Linked DNA regions of Callithrix jacchus. The protein of the gene in region 2 interacts with the protein of the main gene of each other region in a biochemical or structural test. Links are inferred from orthologs where the notes say so. Each region holds a gene or a part of one and is shown on either strand. Other genes may lie near its edges. The genes, in order: THRA, NRIP1 and NR5A1.

Region 1 (6,378 bases), on a different chromosome or scaffold from region 2:
AAAGCTAAATGAGGTAGACATGATCATCCCCAATTTACAGATAAGGCAACGGGGAAGTTAAATGTCTTGCTCAAAGTCACACATCCAGTGAGTGAGAGCTGGGATTCAGACCCAAGCATTCCATCATCATCACCATCATCATCCCTATTCCTAACTGTGATGGCATATCACCTGCTTGAGGGATAATGCCTTGTTCTTTAATCCAGCGACGTGTTCCCTGAGACCAAGCTTTGGTCTTTGCCCCGAGGGCTCTGTCAGTGCCTCCACCTCCAAATAGGCCAAGGCTAGAGGGAGCATGGCCAGAAGTGCTTGGTGCCCCCGGGCCCTGTGCCTCCTACCCGAGTTCCTCCTCGTCAAATGCCCTCTCCGGAAGAGGTTCCCCTTCTAGGCTGGAACCTGCACTCATGGGTGGGAGGGCCTCGCTCAGCCCACACTTAGTCTGGGCAGCTGTGCCCTCAGAACCAGGCCCTGAGGCTGGGAAAAGAGGACACAGCTGTTGGGCATCTCTGAGGTGCGCCTCAGCTGCCAGGGGTGTGGAGAAAGGTCACTGTGAGCCCTGCCACGGACCCAACTCAGGAGGGTCCTGCCAGCTCCTGCCACTGCCCATGGGGTGGTTCTTTTCCAGCTTGGGCCAGTGTCTGGGGAGCCTTGTCACTGACTTGTTTAGGAGCTGCTAGCTGGCTGCAGCCTGCATCCTGAGGGTGCCCACAGAACTGGTCTGGCTGCCCGAGGGGCAGCATGGGCAGTGGCTGTCCCCCCTCCCTTTCCCCATTCCCAGTCCCTAAAACTTGCTGGCCACAGCTGCAGCAGTAAGGAAGTGCAGGAAGTCCTGAGCAGCCAGCTGAGCCCACCCCCCTGGCCCCCCACACCAACCTTAAGCTGACCCCAGAGGCTGCCTGGTGTAGCGGGTGGGGGGGTGGGGGGGCAGAGGGGCGGAGATTGGGTATTAACAACGGGAAAAGTATGAAGAACATCACTGCCAGTCCCCAGCTCTGAGACAAGGACAGGGGTAGACAGGGGTAGCGACAGGATGAGAGAGAGTTACAGACTGGCAGAGAAGGGGAGAGAGAAAGAGAGAGAGAGAGAGAGAATCAGACACTGCAAGACAGAGCAACAGAAAGAGAGAGTTAGAGAGAAATTCCAAGTCAAAAATACACATCACTCATGCAGACAGTCGCCAGCCGATGGCCTCTTAAGGAAAGCTTCCAAGTTTGGGTAGCAGGGTCCAGGTGACAAGAGGGGCGGCCAGACTCAAGGTGGGATGCAGGAACTCAGCTGGGGGTGACTGAGTGTTCCCAGGAAAGGCCCGGGCAAATGACTCAGAGCATGGGCAGTTTGATATCCCTGAGCTTTTCGGGATGAGTGCAGCTCTCCCCTCACCCAGAAGTCAAGAGAATCCCAGCTTCTAGAAGTCCCTGGACATGCTCTGAGCCCCATACTCGGCCTTCTGGAACCCCCCTGCACCCTCCGTCTTTGCTCTTGTTTCTCTGACCCTCCAAAAGAAAATAAAAGTAAAAAAAAAGCCCATTCCCACAGAGTGGCTGGGCCTAGAGGAAGAAGGCAGGAAGAAGCTGAAAGGGAAAAGTCTGTGATTGTGTGCATCTAGGTGTGTGCTTGGCTGCACAGGCTACAGTTGTGTGCATCTGGAATTATGTGGACACGACTGTTTGTGTGGACCTGGGCCCTGTGAACTCATTCTGTACCTGAGTTCAGGGGCCCATGTGCAAATGAGTGCACCTGTGTCCGCAGGTTCCACAGTCAATCAACTAACAAGTAGTTACAAAGCAGCCATTGTGCTAGGCTCTGGGTGCGATCCGGAGCTCTTCAAATGATTCTCCCAGGTCTCCAAGAGCTCACTGTCTAGTAGGGTTGGTATGTCAAGCAACAGAGACCAAAAACATGTCATCGGGAATGCATGCTTTGCACCATTACGCAGCAACACCTTTTCATACAGCCAAATTTAATTTTCTTGGGAGCAAGGGTTTTCTTGTCTACAGAACCTCAGAGCTCCACAGTAAGAGTCCAGGAAAATACTTGTTGCTAAGTTGTGTATACATGTGTTGATGTATAACTGTGTTTGCATCTGACTGAGTGACAGCTACTGTCACGGCAAGCAATGATGACTGTGTGACTGGGCTTATGTGAGCACGTGTGTGCCTGTGAGTGACAGGGTCTTTTGTAATTGTGCGGCTGTGTGCAATTGCTCTGTGTGCATGCATGCATGTGACAGTGACTTTTTCTGTGTGGGTGACAGCAACTCCTCCTTGCCCGTGTGTGACAGCCTCTCCGTGTGACCCTGTGCGTAGGTATGTGCCATGGGTCGGTCTCCATGCTTTTGGTCTCCCGTGGGTATGTCCCACCCCCTGAGCTCCAGGGTGCAGCAGCAGCCTGCCTCTTCCCTTGTCCCCATGTGGGTGTGTCCAGCAGCTCCTGTCCTTGAGTCCGCCTGGGTGTCCCTGGGTATGCCTGTGGCTGTCTGTGTGGACATATCTCTGTGTCTGCGTGTCACTTTTGCTTTCCCCCCATCTTGGACAACAGCCCCCTTCATCCCCTCCCCCTCTTGGAGATGAAGCCAGCACTGAGGGGCAGGCTCCCATCTCACTGGCTTTCCTTCTGTGTCCCCCACCCCCACCTCTGGACCGGTGGCTCTTTCAATTGCCCCTGTCATCCCCCCAGGCCTTTCTTTCACGCTGGGCAAGGGAGGGCCCCAGATGGAGAAGGGGAACCAGAGACACGTTGCAAGGGGAGGGAAAAAGGTGGGGTACACACACACAGGTCCATTTCTCCCTCTCCTCCCCAGCCAGCAACTCTCCTAATCATCTAGGCACCATCAAGTGCACCCCCTCCACACACACATTCCCCCCAGCAGCAGCGTTTTTGCAATTAGAGTGTTGCAACCAGACAGCCATGCTCCACTGGAAGGCGGGTGAAGGGGGGTAACTTCCCTCTCCCTGGACCCATGCAAGCCCACCCCCGCCACCGCACTCATACTGCCCTCCGCAGCTGGAGGCAGCTTTGCAAAGGCTACTCGGCCTCAAAGGCTAGGGGTGGGGGCTGGGGGGGGCAGGCCTCCGACGCACCGTAAACAAACCGCGGAGCGGCGGGCGGGGGAGCTCCGGCGGCCGGCAACGGGGCTTGGCCCGGGAATGCGCAGCAGGCTGGCCGGACAGAGGCCGGGCGGGACGTCGAGGGGGAGGCCCGGACGCCATCTCCGCCTGCAAACCCCCGGGCCCACCGACCTCCAAGCAACACCTCCCTTCCCCAGGGCGTCAGCTGCAAGCTCCTGGGCTCGTGACAGGGTCACTGGGGCGCCGGGAAAGGCTGAGGCTGACAGCGGGTACGCCCTGGGCGACCCTGGCCCGCCTGGGAGCTGGCCACGGAGCCCCGCGGCTTTGCATAATCAATCGCGAGGCATTTGCATATTAATGCCCCCTCGCTCCCTCCTCCTTACCTCGGCGTGGCGCGCTGGACCGGGCTGGGCAGCGACGCGGGGGTCTCAGCGCCCAGTGCCGTGGGCGTCCATGGGGGGCCGGTGGGGCCCGGGCCGCCCGCCTCCTGCGCCCGGGTGTGAGTGCGAGTGAACGCGGGGGGGGGGCGGGGGGCGAGTGTGGCGGCCCCGCGGCTCCTCCGGCAGAGGCGGCGGCCGCTCTGGCTCCTCCCTCCCCCGCCCCGCTCCGGCTGGGGCTCGGGCTCCGCGCGCCCGGCCGGCTCGCGGCTGCTCCCTGCAGGCCGCCTCGCCACCGCCCGCCCCCGCCCCCCGCCCCCTGCCGCGCCCCGGGACCCCCGCCAGCGGCCCGGCAGCCCCTCGGCCGCCCCTGCCCCGCCCCGCTCGGACTCACCCTCCCCCGCCGGGCGGCTCCCGCAGGAGTGGGTACTTGGTGACATATTTTGGAAGAGATGTCATTAAAAAATAGCCTTTGCTTGCCGGGAGAATTGGGGGTTTTCGGGTTTGCACCATGGGGTGGGGAAGAAAGTACCGAGGAGCCGCCTGCACCTTACACATGAGGAGAAAGCCTAAACACCAAACGCTTGCAGGTGTAGAGTTTGTTTAGGAGTTCGGGTCCCTTCTCCGCCAGTAACTCACTGTGTGACCTTGACAAACCACCACTGCTGTCGGGGCAGAGCTTCCTCAAGCTTCAGCCGCGAAGGCTGGGCAGATCACCCCTGACGTCCTTTTAACTTCAATCATCCTGTGTTTTTAATCCTTGTGTGGGCTCAGTACCTCCCTCCCCTCTCATTTCTAACATCGATACCGATCCACTGCCTCCCCTTTCCAACATCACCCTTCTCCATATAGGCTCTTTCTATTCTCTGTCACCAGCCATTTCCCCAACAATCTGCTCCCTCTCCTCACCTCGGGGAGGGGACAAGATTTGCCATACCCCCTCAATTCCTAGCTCCTGGGTGGTGGTATTTCCCCCCGTGTTTGCTCCCACCAAAATCCAAATGGTACCAGAGTCAATCTAAGGAAGCCGGTGGGCTGCATACAAATGGACCCCCTAATCCAACCCAAAGGAGAGGTTTCCACTGTGCCAGCCCCACCCCCAGCACACATACACACACACGCAACACACACACACACAACACACACACACACACGCATCTGCAATTCATGGACATAAAACCAACCCAGTGACGCCAGAGCCCCTTTCATCTCGGGATCTCCCAGTTCCAGGCCAAGCCCTAATTACCCCAGCACGCCCCTGGCCCCGCCGGTTCCCCTGCTGTCATTAGCCCAGTTTTACCAGTGGGGGCCACAGCCTTCCCACGGCTCTCAGGGTGGGGCCCTGCTACACAGTCTGCTCTTGGAGAGGGGTGTGTGTTTGTGTGTGAGCGTGTGTGTCAGGGGGAGCTGCTCAGCTACTGGCCCAGGTTATACTGGATAGAATCACTTGCCGAGTGTGGGATCCTGACCCACAGCTTATCCAAGCTGGGCTGCCCTTGCTCATGTCTCAGTCTCAGCCTCCTGCATCCTCAGTGCTGTTGGAGCCACTTCTTTCACAGGGGATACTGGAGTTTGTAATGCTTGGCGGAGGGGAGGGTACCTCTCTGGGGGTCCCTGGAACCATGGAGATGAGAAAAGCAGCTGGGATGAAATCTATGGCATGCAGAGTGCAGCGGTGGTGTTGAGGGCATTGCCATAGGTGAAGGGAGCCTGTGAGGTGCAGTGGCAGCTAGAAGGGGGAGTTGAGGCAGCAGCGTGCAGTGTCTCCACGAGGTAAGCGAACCTGTGTTCAGTCTGGGCTCACGGGAGACAAGCAACAGCTGCAGTGTGGGGCAGGAGGCTGCAGCGTGCAGAGTCAGTGCAGTGAGCAGAATGAGGTGCACTGAGGGTGGCTGCCTGCCGGTGGGTGCCACCTCCTCGGTGATCAGGTTTGGCCGAAACCCTGGGGTGCACGGCTACAGTGTATAGTGCTTGGGGTCTGTGCTCTACCCTGTGTGGAACTAGTCCGTTGGGATTGGGCTGCTTAAGGAGCTGGGAGGGAATCCTGATGCATGAGATACATTTATACTCTGCATCACAAAGACAGAACTAGGAGGCAGTGGGGAGGGCCAGCAGTCATCTGGATTGGGGCTGGAGTGATGGAGTCCAGAGGCGGAGGAGGAAGGTGCTGTGGTTTTGTCTCCCTTCCATCCTGGCTTTCCCCACCATATCTCTCTTTGATGCAAGGCCCTATAATATTGTGTGGGGGAAGACTTTCTGAAATCCTAGATCCAAAGCCATATAAAATGATGTGCCTTCTGATTCACTTTTTTTTTCCTGAAGGGCAGAGTAAGGCACTCAAAGACAAGGGTTTACCATTTCCATCTTCTCCCCCACTCCTTTTTTTTTTTTTTTTTTTTTTGAGATGGAGTTTTTCTCTTGTTGCCCAGGCTGGAGTGCAATGCTGTGATCTTGGTTCACTGCAACCTTCGCCTCCCAGGTTCAAGCGATTCTCCCGCCTCAGCGTCCCTGTAGCTGGGACTACAGGCATGTGCCACCATGCCAGCTAATTCTGTATTTTTTTTAGTAGAGACGGGGTTTCTCCATGTTGGTTAGGCTGGTCTCGAACTACTGACCTCAGGTTATCCATCCGCCTTGGTCTCCCAAAGTGCTGGGATTACAGGTGTGAGCCACCATGCCCAGCCCCCATCTTCTCCTTTAAAAAATTTATTATTATTATTAGAGACAGAGTCTTCCTCTTTTGCCCAGGCTTGGGTGCAGTGGCACAGTCTTGGCTCACTGCAACCTCCGCCTCCTGAGTTCAAGGGATTTTCATTTCCCACCCTCCCAAGTAGCTGGGATTGTAGGCATGTGTTAGCATGCCCAGCTAATTGGTTTTTTTAATTTTTTGGTAGAGAAGGCATTTCACCATGTTGGCCAGGCTGGTCTTGAAC
Region 2 (6,428 bases):
GGAGAGACTGGAACTCCTCTTACTAACCTACATTAAAAACTAACTGTATCAAGCAATCTCAAATGTGAAAAGCAAAACTGCCCCATCACAATTTAAAGTGAGTAATGTTTTCCTGGACTAAAATTAGGTATTTTAAACTTTTTCTGAGCAAAACTATTTTTTAACCCGATACACCAAACTATTATTGCTTTTCCCAAACAACACTTAGAACGTGAGCTTTTAAGTTTCTTACATTCTTTAATGTTTTAAAATTAAAAGCCGAATTCCTTTAACCTCATATATCCTAAGCCACTCTGATTTAAAATTACTTCTATAGCATTGTCTTCCAGCACTGGTCTGCAATAGAATCTGTGCAATTAACAATAATCTTCTTCCCTCTGATCTTTCTAGAGTCAAGGATGGCATATCTCCTTATCTTATTTGTTCCATTAGATTGGCATATTTTGCCTCATCTGTCACCTTCTATCAAACTCTGCTTTCAGATATGAGTTAATTCATTTTTAGTTGTCCTCAATGTTCTAAAATAGTGATGTTTGACAGAATTAATACAGTGCTCTAGTTCTTTCTGTTCAACTGGTATTTAATTAAAGATCTTGGAGGCCATCTTTCTCTCAGGCTACACCACTTAAAGGAAGAACATTACTTCCTCCATGGACAATGTGATAAGCCACATGGCAACAAAGCTGCCTCCCTAAGGTGTCTCATTTAATAGACTGCTTTACCACATACAGACTACCAGCAAAACAGATTATCACTTTAATTCACATTGATTTTACTTTTCACATCTCTGAACCACAACTCTGCCATAGGCTGCATCCTCTTAACTTCTGAATTGCCAGAATTTCTGTAATTGTAATGCTTTCCTATATTTTTGCTTTTGTTTCATTCGGACTTTAAAAAGTTCTAACGGCATCTGATTTGGAAGATTTCTTGAATCTCTGATAACATCACAGAAGTTGTTAAGGAATCAGAACTGCCTTGGTGCACAAGCCGAGTACTCCGTTTTAAAATATTTTGAATTAACATCTTGGAGAATAGCCCACTCAACTTGATATGTCATAATTTTCAATTCCAAAGGTGGCATGAAAAATTTAAACTGGCTCTTGCTATTTATTACTTAAATAATTGTTCTCTTGGATGGCCTTTTGAAAGCCAGCACTTCTTAATCATTTTCGACTATATCAGAACTGTAACAGACATGTCAATTTAAGCAAACTTCATGAGCAATAAACTAACAAACAGACTCTAGGTGGTGGTATAGGTTATTTTTTATCATGATGTTTTGCACTTATAACTGCAAGAGTCAGAAAAGCCTTTGGTCTCTTCACACATTACTGCAAAGTTAACAATATTTTAGGATGTTAAAATTCGCAAAATCCAAGTTCTGCAGAGTTTGGAAAAGCACGCAAAACAGGCATTAAATCTGATTTTCAACTAATTCATATGAATAAAATCAACAACAAACAGTCATTTTTTTTTTCTTATGTTTTGATGTATATTTTACTCACACTCCTAGGGCACTTTTAAGGGTAAGTTTGGAAAGAGGTCTTTTCCACCAGCTAATGAAACAGACTAGATAGAGCAACCAGTCCTATGACCTGCAGGGCAGTATCTGCTCCACTAATTGATTCTCCTTCTTTGTTTCTAGGAACTATACCCAGGCAAAGAAAAGTTACTATAAGTGATGAAGCTACTGCTCCCTGAACCAGATAAACCCTACCGACGATACCGAACTGCTGGGCAAAACCAGAGCAACTCACTTACTTGGAAGTTAAAAAACATTTCAACATACTCCAGGCGGCAACCGACACTTAGGGGCCAGGCAGATGAAGCGCCATTTGTTTAAAAAGTCTATTATTTCACTATCTCTTCAACAAAGGTGGAAAACTGATGATTAAACATAGAATAATGCCACCCACTTACTAAACCTATGACTCACTAATAAGCAGGTTCAATGCAATTCATAACTTTAAAGAATGAATTACCGAAGCCCCTTGCTTCACAAATTCCCCCAAGAAATAGAAAGAGCATTCATCATATATAACCCGACAACCATTTTTACTGTGGACACCTACAGATGGCTTCTCTGCCTCTAAGGACACAATTTCCTTCACAATCCCACATGTAATCATTTACAATACCAGAGACAAACTCTAACTCAGTTCCACCAATTGAGTTCTTAAAAATCCTTGTACCTAAAAACGTCTTCTTTTTCCCCCCGAAGTAAAATGTGCCATTACAGAATATTTTTAAAACGAAAAAGTGCTTATCATTCCTTTCTTCTTTTACTACCTTCAGAACCCAATTACTGACGTGCTAAAAGGTAGCAACTCCTGGAATGCTTCAGAGATCAACATGTGTCACAGACTCCAGCCTGTCCGCCTCTAAGACACAGTTGATTCCTTTGTTCCTTCAGACTGAACACCAACTCCTGATTAAAACTGGGAAACTACTTTGGAAGGGCTGGGAGGGTGTGCAGAAGATGACCATGGGAACCTTCGTAAAACAATATTCAATAGCGGTAACGTGGACACAGAAGAAGGGAGAAAAGGCAGCCTCCCCGGACTTCCACAGGGCTCAGCCTAAATGGGAGCCGGCCCCCGGCTCCGGGTAAAACGGTGGCTGAGGCCTCGGGTCCGTGAGCCTCGCTCTCAGGAGGGGACAACGAGTGCGGGCAGAGCGGGCCTGGGGTCGGGTGGGGGCCGGACGAGCAGTCCCGGTTCCCATTCACTTTCCCAGCCGGGTATCCCGCGAGCACCGAGCAGGGAAGCACCCGGGCGAAAGGCGCCGCCCCGGATCCGGCTGGACAGCAGGACCGAGAGCGACGCGGCGAGCGGTGCCCGGGGCTCGGGGCCGAGAGGGCAGGCGAGCCGGGCGCAACCCCGATCCGGCCCCGCGAGCTCCCGCGCAGGGGCCACGCGGCGGCCGCCCCCTCGCCCAGCACTGGCACGGACTGGCGGGCAGCCCCGGGGCCACTCCACAACTTGCCGCCCCGCCGCCCCGGCCCCCCGCGAGATCCCGGGGAGCGGAGGCAGGATTTCCCCGGAAACGCACCCTCCCCGCCGCCCCGACGCCCCCGCGGCCCTGCCCGCCCAGCCAGCGCCTCCGCGGGCCGCACTCCCGGCCGTTTCCGGCGGGGCCAGAGCGGGCTCCTCCGAGCGCCCCGGCCGCGGCCGCCACTCACCCGAGGCCGCCGCGGCTCCCAGCCTCCGGCTCCGTCAGGCTCGGTCCGCGAAGGCGCCCGCCGCCCCGTCCTGGCCCGGCGCCCCGGCGAGCTCTTCCCTCCGACCAGCGGCGCTCCCTGCGCAGCGGCGGACGCGAGGCCACGGGCGGACGGGCGCGCGCGGGTGGCGGGCGGGCGTGGGGCCGGGTCGTCCCTGCGCCTCGCCGCGCCTCCTCCACCTCCTCCGCCGCCGCCTCCCGAGTTCGGGGCTCTGCTGCAATGTCTGCGAGGCTGACTTTGAGCGCCTCGCTCGCCGCCCGCCCGCAGCCGCGCTCCTCCCTCCGCCGCCGAGTCCGCCGCGGCCCAGTCCCTCCCCTCGCCGCCCCACGCCATTCAGCTCTTCAGCCAAGTTTCTTAACCCTTTTCTCCCCCTCCCTCCCATTGTCACCCGGTCGGGAGGAAGCCGCGCGGATGCGGGCCGCTCTCAGGAGTCGGGAAGCCCCCTCTGGTTCGTGGTTTTCCTCCTCGCCTGCTCGGGGGTGGCCCAGACGGGGCTGCGGGGCCCCGGGGCGGCGAGAGGACCGCGTCCCCGGGAGAGGGGACGTTCCCCGGGCTCCCAGCTCTGTCCAGCGGCCCCCGACCGCCGCAGGCGCCTGGACAGCTCCTCCCGGGCACTCGGGGAAGCGCTCTCGGGACCCAGGCCGATCGCTCCCGCCTGGGCACAGCCCGGGAGCCGGACGCCCCAGGGTCCCCGCCTGGGTGCTGGCGCCTTAAGCGTCTACCTCCTCCCCTTCACCCCACGACACGCGCTCCCTGGGCTCCCTCTCACCCACCCACCCCCGATTTCCACCTCCTTGTCATCTGTGTGTCCTGCTTTAATCTCGGGGGGCACGGGCGCGAACTCTGGGTCACTTTGACCCCACGCCCAGCACGTAGTAGGCACCCAGCAGCACTCAATGTGGCGCGACTCCGGGAGGAAAACTAGGAAGAAGACCTGAGGAGCGCCCCGCTCAGCTCCCTGGACAGACGTAGGACCCAGGAGCAGGGTTAATCCTCGGCTGCTTTGTCACTGCGAAGTCTCCGGCGGAGTCTGTCAGCCAAACTACATCATCCCCGGGCAGGATCTGACCCAACGAGACAAGGCAAAGGAGCAGGGCTGCTACTTCGGCAGCTCTCCCCGGTTCAGTCTCCGAATAAGAAATGACAATTACATCACGAGGCCGGGGCGGCAGCGCGGTGGAGCCTTTCGGTTTCCTGCAGCCTAATCTCGCTGAACCCGCCTCTAAATTGGGGGGGCTACAGATTGGTGAAACGAGAGAGTGGAGGGAGGAGAGAGTTATACGAAACCATAATTTCCCCTTCTCCGTGTATTTGCTGTTTTAAAAATCGTATCCTCAACGCTCCCCAACCAAGCATCTCACGAGAACTATTAACACCCCCTCAACACCTCCCCAGATGTCAGGTTTCTTTGTGACTTGAGCATCTAGCATTTAGTAATAAGCATGAAAAAATTTACCAGGGGAAAGGAGTGTTGTTGCTGAAATTGTTTTTGCTTGACACAAAAAAGCTAAAAGTACAGCGTAGTCTCATCCGAAATTCTGAAATGGCATGCCTGTGTTAAAGCACTTATTACATAAGGCAAATGAGCCGCTGAGGCACTCCATTCTTATATGTAGGCTTTCATATCCTGAAGAATTTGATAGCATTTGGAAATGGAGTTGCTAATGCGCTTAAAAAACAAAAACTATCCAAGTCATAAAACTGTATTCTTATGCCTGTTATGTAACGGCTGTATTGTGTATTTCAAATTTCACTTAGCCTTTAAAAATGTGAATACGAGTTTTAAAATACTGTCATAGTCTTGAAAGTGAAAGCAAATTTTCAAATTAATGCTTAATAAATTCAGCATCTAGCACAGTGCCGGGCACATGGTTCCAATGTTTTGCTTAGTGGCAATGGCACATATTAAAACAATTATTTTACATCACCCCAGTGATTCAACGATGCAATCTGTTGCCATTTTATATAGTTAAACCTCATATAATAGCATATTATTTGCATATACCACAGTGCAAAATCTGCTCTAGGCAACTTAGTAAAGGCTGCTGTTCTTTAGTGCATCATTTATTCAGAACTGATACAAAGCAAACCATTCCAATTCAATGATGACCAGCATAATTGGAGCTTGGCCCCTTAGTGGGAGTCAAACTTTTTTTGTGAAAATTATTTTTAACCATTATACAAAGATTTTTCTGTATTGTCTTTCAAATGTTTCTCTTAAGCAGTTTATTGAACGTCATTTAGCATTTTCTTGACAATTCAATGTCAATTTTATTAAAAGTGATTATGTAGTAGGTTGTAGTGGATTCAGGAAATACGTCAAGTTCCTATTCTATATTCTTCCTAGGTGTTAGGGATGCTCCCAGGAGGTACAAAAGCTATTAGTCTTTACACAGAAGGACTCTAGGATGCTATGACTTAGTGATTATCTCTGCCTTTTGTAATTTCTCTCTCTCCCCCTTCACTAACTAAAAATCTGTTGTCCTTGCTGTTACCAGCATAGCTGCCACTAACATTCTTCTCATCTTCTGATTGGTAACTTCCATTCTAGTGCGGACTGGGAATCCAGATAGCTTCACTTGTCACAATTCTGTCTAAAGTAAACTTAATAGGTTCTGGGTGAGGGACTGATGGGCTCACCGAGGAGTAAGGTGCAACACACGTTAGTGCATAGACTTTAGGAAAGATATTTGGACTACTCAAGTGTAGCTTTTAAATGCATTCTTCTTACTTCTTAACCAGGTTTTGAACCACAGCGGTTGCCCAACAAGCCGAGAATTTTCCAGCCCTCCAGCACTGGTGTTAAAAAGTCCACTGCTGTATGTTAGATGACTGCCCAAAGCGCCTCACTTATTATTATTATGTTTTCTCAATCACACAGAAACCCAGTCCTTGAAATCCTGAACTCTTTTGATAGTGCATGGGTGTTAAGTAAATTGCACACCTCTTGTGGAATTCATTTTCACTTAATCATGCTAATTATGTGGAGACTATTTTGTTTTGTTGTCTTTTTTTTTTTTTTTTTTAAATAAATCAATACCTAAATTTCCCGGGTAACAGAGTCATTGCAAGGATACTAGGGCATATATGTAATATAAGAATGTCTATTTGGTAATTTGTACTCCGAAGTCAATTCTCATTTGAACCATTTGCGATGTGAAAACAACGCTGTTCGGTTTATATACTCAAACGCCTAATTATTGTT
Region 3 (6,640 bases), on a different chromosome or scaffold from region 2:
TGGGCCCCGCCGCGCCCGATCGGGGGCCTTCGGATTCGATGAGCTTCGATTCGGATTCGTTTGTCTGAGAACAAAACCCCGATTCTGAGAAAAGGTGATGGGCTCAGCCGCGGGGAAGACGCCAGGGGACCCGGGAGATGTGGGGCGCCCGGCCCGGGTGTTCTGGGAACCCAACAGAGACGAAGGAAGCAGAGACAGAGTCCGGGAGAGACAGAGATAGGAGGAAACCCGGGCGAGAGACGAGGACCGACGCCGCGGGGCGCAGAGACCAGGTCAGCCCCAAAGTGCCAGAGACACAGAGACCACGAGCTGGAGAGAACCCGGCGGGGACGAGACACAGGGAGGGATGGAGAGAGACAGAGAGGCAGAGACACAGAGAGAGAGAAAGAGAAAGAGAGAGAGAGAGAGAACGAGGGGTAGGGGATCAGATCCAAGAGAGACTCCAAGAGACAGCGGAGGCCCAAAGAGAAAACCCAAGAGAGACGGACGCAGAGCCAGAGACACAGAGACAGAGACGTCGAGACAGAGACACGGAGAAAAAACCTGGAGGCGGAGGCGGCCAGCCCGAGGGTCTGGGACGCGGGACGCTCGGAAACCGGCGGGCCAGGAGCCCGAGCGCCGAGGCGAGGCCCGGCGGGGTCGGACCCGGGACGCGGACCCGGGCCGCGGGAGGCGGAAAACGACGGCGCCGGGACCGAGAGCCCGAAACGCCGAGCCGCCGGGGCCCCCGCGCCGGGGAAGACAAAGCCGCCGCAGCGACGGCAACGGGAGGCGCAGCCCGCGCTGCCGCCGCCACCGGGACGTCGGGCGGGGAGACGCGCAGGGGTCGCGAGGCGTGGAGACTTCGGGCGGTGGGCGGCGGGCTCCGGGAAGTCGAGCCCGAGGCGGGGGAGCGACCGCGGGCCGAGACCGAAGTCCCAAGGAGGGAAGCGCACGGAGCCCGGGCCCCGGACGCGAGAGGGGGCGCGACGGCGGCTGCTGCCGGCCCGGCGCCCACCTGGCCGCTCCTGCCAGCAGAGCCCCGCGTCCCTCCCGCGCGGAGCCCGCACCTCCCGGCCGCGCCGCCGCCGCCCGCGAGGAGCCGCACCCGGGCGCAGCGCCGCCAGCCCGCGGTGACTGCCGCTCGGGCCGGGGGCGGGGAGGCGGGGGCGCGGGGCTGGCGGCGGGGGGCCTCGGCTCCCCCCTCCCGCCTTCCCCCCCCCTTCAGTCTCCCTGCGCTACCCCTGCCGCCGCCGGGGCCGCTCCGAGGCGCACCTGGGACCCGGGCCCCTCCGCCGCCACCGCGCCCTGCGCCAACCCGCCGCGCCCGGGCCGGGGGCCGGCCGCTCTATATCGGCGCGTGCGGTATCCGGGGGCGGAGGCCCGGCCGCGTCCTCCCCCCGAGCCCGGCCCGCGCCCGGCACCCCCTCCGCAGCCCGGCTCGAGTCTTCGCCCTCATCCTCCCGCCCCCCCCCCCCCCAGCCCCAGCCGGTCTCCCCGGACCTCGAGAGCCACCAGAGAGCGGCGGAGCCCGAGCGCCCCGCGATCTGGGCAGGTGTCGGGCGCCGGGTGCCTCCGGCCACCCGCCAGCGGTGGGAGGAGGCAGCTCCTGTCTGCGAACCCAGCTGGGTCGTGGCGAGGGCCACGAGGGTGACCGGTCGCGGTGCAGCGTGGAAGTGGGTAAGAGCGAGTAGCGACCGTGGCCGAGGCACGAGTTCACGGGTGGAAGCCAGATTCTCCTATTGGCCCCGCCACGTCTCCTCACTCGAGCCTGCAGTAGCACTCTCCCCGCCTCGAGTCTTCAGGGACCGCATCTGTGAAGTGGGTAGATGACTGCTCTACCTTGCTAAGGGCAGGTCGTGAGGACCAACCAAAGCCTTGGGGAGAAGCAAGCGCGTGGCCTGGTGGAAGCGCTCAGGGGCGCCCCGCTGGGGAGATCTGAGGCGAACCCCTTCTCCTCGCCAGCCTCAGTTCGCTGGGCTGGAAATGGGAATCGTGGATTGAAATGCCATTTTACGAATGTCCGAGGCCTAGGGAGGGCCCGAAGCCTCTACTGGCCCAGGAGCCCAGAGGCAGGACCCCGCTGCTCCCCTCGGAGCTCTCACAGCGGGGTGGGGCGGGAAGAAAGCGCTGGGCGGCCTTGGGCACAAAGGGGTTCCCTGGCCAAGGGCCGAGCAGTTGCTCTGGGCTGGGGACCATGGCGGGGCCACTGTTTTTCATTTGGAGAAACTGACCCAAGAGGAAGCGGCTTGCTCGCATCCCGCCCCCGCCCCCGCCGGCACCTGGGGCCGGAGAGAGTTTGGGGACCATGAGGCCAAAAAGCCGCGATCTTCCAGCAGGAAAATGCCGAAATTTTACACTGACAGCGGTGCAACCCACCAAAGGGCCCCATGGGCTCCCTGCCCGCCTCGAGGCCCCAGGCTTCGGTCACAGCTGGGCCTGGGGACTGTGAGCTGCAGCCAGAGACCCCTGCAAACCCCACTCAGCTTGCCCACCCCACAGTGGAGGAGCAGAACCCGCAGACTTGCTGTGCAAGCTGGGGCAAGTCACTTGGTCTCTCTGAGCCTCAGTTTCTCCATGCATAAAGTGGAAAGTGTTGGCCCTACAGATGGAGTACTGCGGTTTCAGTGCAAGAATCTTGGGGAGGAGGGAGGAAAGAGAGCCAGAGACCCTGTAAATGGCACCCCACACCCCCAAACCGCTGAGAAACAAGAGCATCTGCCGGAGCTGGAGGTGGGGGTCACGGCTGCCTCTGAACAGCTCCTCAACACAGTGGAGCCCTCAGATAGTGACTCGGGAGCTAAGGGGGTTGGGGGCATGAGGGGCTGGGGTGCCCCAGTCAGCTGTTCTAAGGTAGAGCCCATAGAAGTCTCCGGGAAGCCTGGCGCTGGACACACAGGCCTGAGCCGGCCGGGTGGGTGGGGGCTGGGCTCTGAGGCCCTTCTCCCTCTATCTCCAACTCCCTCTCCCCCAAGGTTTCCACTCTCACCGGCTAGGAGCTCCTGGCTCCTCCGCACTCCAGGCACCCAGGCACCCAGGCACCCACTCCCACAGCCCCAGGTTCCAGCCCCTCACGCACCCACCCAGGGAAGCAAAGCTAGACCTGGCCCAGTCACAGAACCCAGGCTGACAGATGGACGCCAGAGACAGGCACACAGATACACACCAAGACTCAGAGACAGCGACAGAGACAACACAGACACGCAGGCAAGGGACAGAACCCCAAGACAGGCCCAGAGCCCTCCAGACACACTCACAGACCTCTAGGCTCAGACTCACACAGCCTGGTGGACGCCCGGCAAGCGACAGCGGACACCAGCAGACCTCCGTGGGGCTTGCGGTCACAGGCCTGGCTCCTCCCCTCAGCAGCCCAAGGAAGAAAAGGGGGTAGCATGCTGGGAGGGTGAGTCTGGGAGACCCCTGGCCCCTTCCCTGCCCAGAGCAGGGGCACCGGTCACTTAGCAGAGCAGGCGGTGGCCGGCCCAAGCTTCAGGGAGGCACTGCAGAAGGAGGCTGGCCATTAGAGGCCTGGGCCCAGGCCCTCACTTACGGAGCGGAAGCAGCGCTCTCACGCCGGATGAGGGTGGCAGTGGGCACCGGGGGTCCAGGGGGAGGCTCCGGCAGCCCAGGTGGGGCGGTGGCGACCGTGGGCGCACAGGAATCCCGTCACACCACGGCGGGCGGCAGCCGGACGGCAGGCTGGTCCTGTCCGTCCGTCCTCCTCCTCCTCCCCGCCCTGGGGGGGGCCACCGGAGGCCCAATTGGTCTCTGCCCCCACGTGACTCTGCAGGCCTCTCGCCTTCTTTGTTGGTGTTTCTCTTCATTTACGTCTATTTTTTTCTTCTTCTCTTAATAGAAAAAAAAAAATACCCCTATCTATCTGGGGGCCGAGGGTGGGGGCGGAGGCCAAGGCACTGCGGAGGCCTTGGCCAGCTGGCTGTTCCAGGCCCGCTGTGGGAGCCCAGAGGCAGGGACCCCACGGAGGCGGGTAGGCAGCCGCGCTTGTTAGCGACCAAGTGGGAGTGGGGCCTGATTTATGGGCTGCTCCCCCATCCGGCCTGCCGCCTGGCCTCTCTCCTTGGGAATGGCTACCTCCCTGGGGCCTGGCCGGGCATGGTCTGGCCCAGCCCGGACACTGGAGTGGAGTCGGGACAGGCCAGTGGGGAGGCAAGGGCATGGCGACTCGACCAGGTGGCCTGCTGCCAAGACCTATCTTTTAACTCTTCCATCAGATGGAGGAAGAGGGGGGCTAAAAGTCGAGGAGCTGATCGGCCTGGACACCACATGCATGCATGCCACGGTGGCCTCTGACTGTCCCCATCTGCTGTGGGCTGCCGATGTTCCCATCGGTGGCTGGAAAAACTGAGGCTGAGCGGAGGACGCCTCTGGGCCAAGTGGTGGCAAGGGTGGCCCCAGGCTGAACCAAGTGTGTAGCTAGGCCAGGAGAAGACAGGGTAGAGGGAAGGGCCTTTATCTAGAAGGCTAGGCCTGTCTACAGCCTGGGATGTCCCGTCCGATCTCCAGGCCCAGATGGCTCTGAACTCTCTCCTGGTCCTGTAGGGCCCAGGCTATAGGGCCCTGTGCTGCTCCCACAGTGACTGGATCTTTCCTGCATTCCTCTGTTCATCTCACATTTGCTAAGCGTGCACTTAGGGGTCAGGTGCTGTTCTGGGCACCAGGGATCTCATAGGGAAGAGAAGTCTCTGTCCTCAGAGGATTGACCTCTCTGCCTTTCATCTTGGGAATGGGGGAAGGGCACAGGACAACTATGGGGCAGTCACTGGTGAAAACCACCCTTCCCCCCACATGCCCCTTCATTGGAGGAAATAAGCAAATCACATCCAACACCTCACTTATCTGGAACAAGAGGTGCTTTTCTGGATAAGTGAAGCCAACTATATATATATATATATATATATATTTTTTTTTTTTTTTTTTTTTTCCCCCATGGAAAGCCACTGAAAGAGTAGAAATGCCAACTGTATTTAAAACCTAGTGTGTGTTTTCTAGCTAGGCGCTGTGGCTCATGCCTGTAATCCCAGCCCTTTGGGAGGCAAAGGTGGGTGGATCACCTGACGTCAGGAGTTCGAGACCAGCCTGGTCAACATGACGAAACCCCATCGCTACTAAAAATACAAAAATTAGTTGAGCTCATGCCTGTAGTCCCAGCTACTTGGGAGGCTGAGGTGGGAGAATCACTTGAACCTGGGAGGCAGAGGTTGCAGTGAGCCAAGATCATGCCACTGCAGTCCAGCCTGGGTGACAGAGTGAGACTCTGTCTCAAATAAAAGAATAAAATAAAGTAAAACTTGGTGTATGTTTTCCTCATTATGCTACTTAAAATTGTGTGTGAATATACAACAATAATACTGATAGCCTGTAGTCCTGGATACTGGGGAGGCTGTCAGGAGAATGGCTTGAACCCAGGAGTTTGAGCTGTAGTGAGCTATGATTGTGCCACTGCACTCTAGCCTGGGCAATAGAGTTTTAATAATTAATATGGCCGAACGCAGTGGCTTATACCTATAATCCCAGCACTTTGGGAGGCCAAGGTGGGCAGATCACAAGGTCAAGAGATCGAGACCATCCTGGCCAACATGGTGAAACGCCATCTCTACTAAAAATATGAAAATTAACCAGGTGTGTTGGCATGTGCCTGTAGTCTAGCACTACATTCCAGACTCTGTCTCCAAAAAATAATAATAATCATCAATTCAATATTAATTCTATAATTTCACAGTCAAAACTGATGGAATATATTCCATCTGCAATATAAAATATAGCTTATTCCCCAATGTGTATGACCTTGTAATTATGCTTTTCACCTAAAGTTCTTACAAGATATACTTCTCTTGCACATGGTTGCACCTAGTCTCCTTGTTTTATCTTAATAGTCTTCTTTTTTGTGTCCCTATTTCGTTTTATGTCTTTTGAGACAGGGTCTCACTCTGTCACTCAGGCTGGAGTGCAGTGGTATCACAGCTCACTGCAGTCTCAACCTCCTGGGCTCAAGCGATCCTCCTGCTTCAGTCTTCGGAACAGCTGAGACTACAGCATGTGCCACCACACTTGGCTAAGTTTTGTATTTTCTTTTGTAGAGATGGGGTTTCGTTATGCAGCCCAGGCTGGTATTGAACTCCTGGGCTCAAGCAATCCGCCCACCTAGGCCTCCCAAAGTGCTGGAATTACAGGCGTGAGCCACAGCACCTGGCTTTAGTGTCCCTACTATTTTTTTTTTTTTTTTTGATATGGAGTCTCAATCTGTCACCCGGGCTGGAGTGCAGTGGTATAATTTCAGCTCACTGCAACCTCTACTTCCCGGGTTCAAGCAATTCTCCTGTCTCAGACTCCCAAGCTGGGATTACAGGCACCCACCACTGTACTGGGCTAATATTTATATTTTTAGTATAGACAGGGTTTCAACATATTGGTCATGCTGGTCTCGAACTCCTGACCTGAGGTGATCCACCTACCTCGGCCTTCCAAAGTGCCAGGATTACAGGTGTGAGCCACTGTGCCTGGCCTAGTGTCCCTATTTTAATGCAATGATTTTGTTTCTCGATTAATATCACTCACCCTCTTAATCTAATAAGAAATATCCCAGCAAATACCCATCACTAACATGTCACATACCTGTAACAACAAAATCATGATTCTTTGC

The links.
Region 1: the proteins of NRIP1 (region 2) and THRA form a complex in vitro, tested with the Homo sapiens proteins (4 studies listed by BioGRID). The link is inferred for Callithrix jacchus from reciprocal best matches to the Homo sapiens genes NRIP1 and THRA.
Region 3: the proteins of NRIP1 (region 2) and NR5A1 form a complex in vitro, tested with the Homo sapiens proteins (2 studies listed by BioGRID). The link is inferred for Callithrix jacchus from reciprocal best matches to the Homo sapiens genes NRIP1 and NR5A1.

What each region holds. Positions count from the first base shown.
Region 1 is NC_133506.1:71,669,536-71,675,913, reverse strand, and holds the start of THRA (thyroid hormone receptor alpha), read right to left. Parts: upstream 3,584-6,378; 5' UTR 3,452-3,583; intron 1-3,451.
Region 2 is NC_133522.1:22,075,984-22,082,411, forward strand, and holds the start of NRIP1 (nuclear receptor-interacting protein 1), read right to left. Parts: upstream 4,359-6,428; 5' UTR 4,158-4,358; exon of another isoform or gene 4,014-4,157; intron 3,437-4,013; exon of another isoform or gene 3,185-3,436; intron 1-3,184. UniProt on the Homo sapiens protein: Modulates transcriptional activation by steroid receptors such as NR3C1, NR3C2 and ESR1. Also modulates transcriptional repression by nuclear hormone receptors.
Region 3 is NC_133502.1:173,120,095-173,126,734, forward strand, and holds the start of NR5A1 (steroidogenic factor 1), read right to left. Parts: upstream 3,713-6,640; 5' UTR 3,259-3,712; exon of another isoform or gene 3,241-3,258; intron 1,119-3,240; exon of another isoform or gene 544-1,118; intron 22-543; exon of another isoform or gene 1-21. UniProt on the Homo sapiens protein: Transcriptional activator. Essential for sexual differentiation and formation of the primary steroidogenic tissues. Binds to the Ad4 site found in the promoter region of steroidogenic P450 genes such as CYP11A, CYP11B and CYP21B.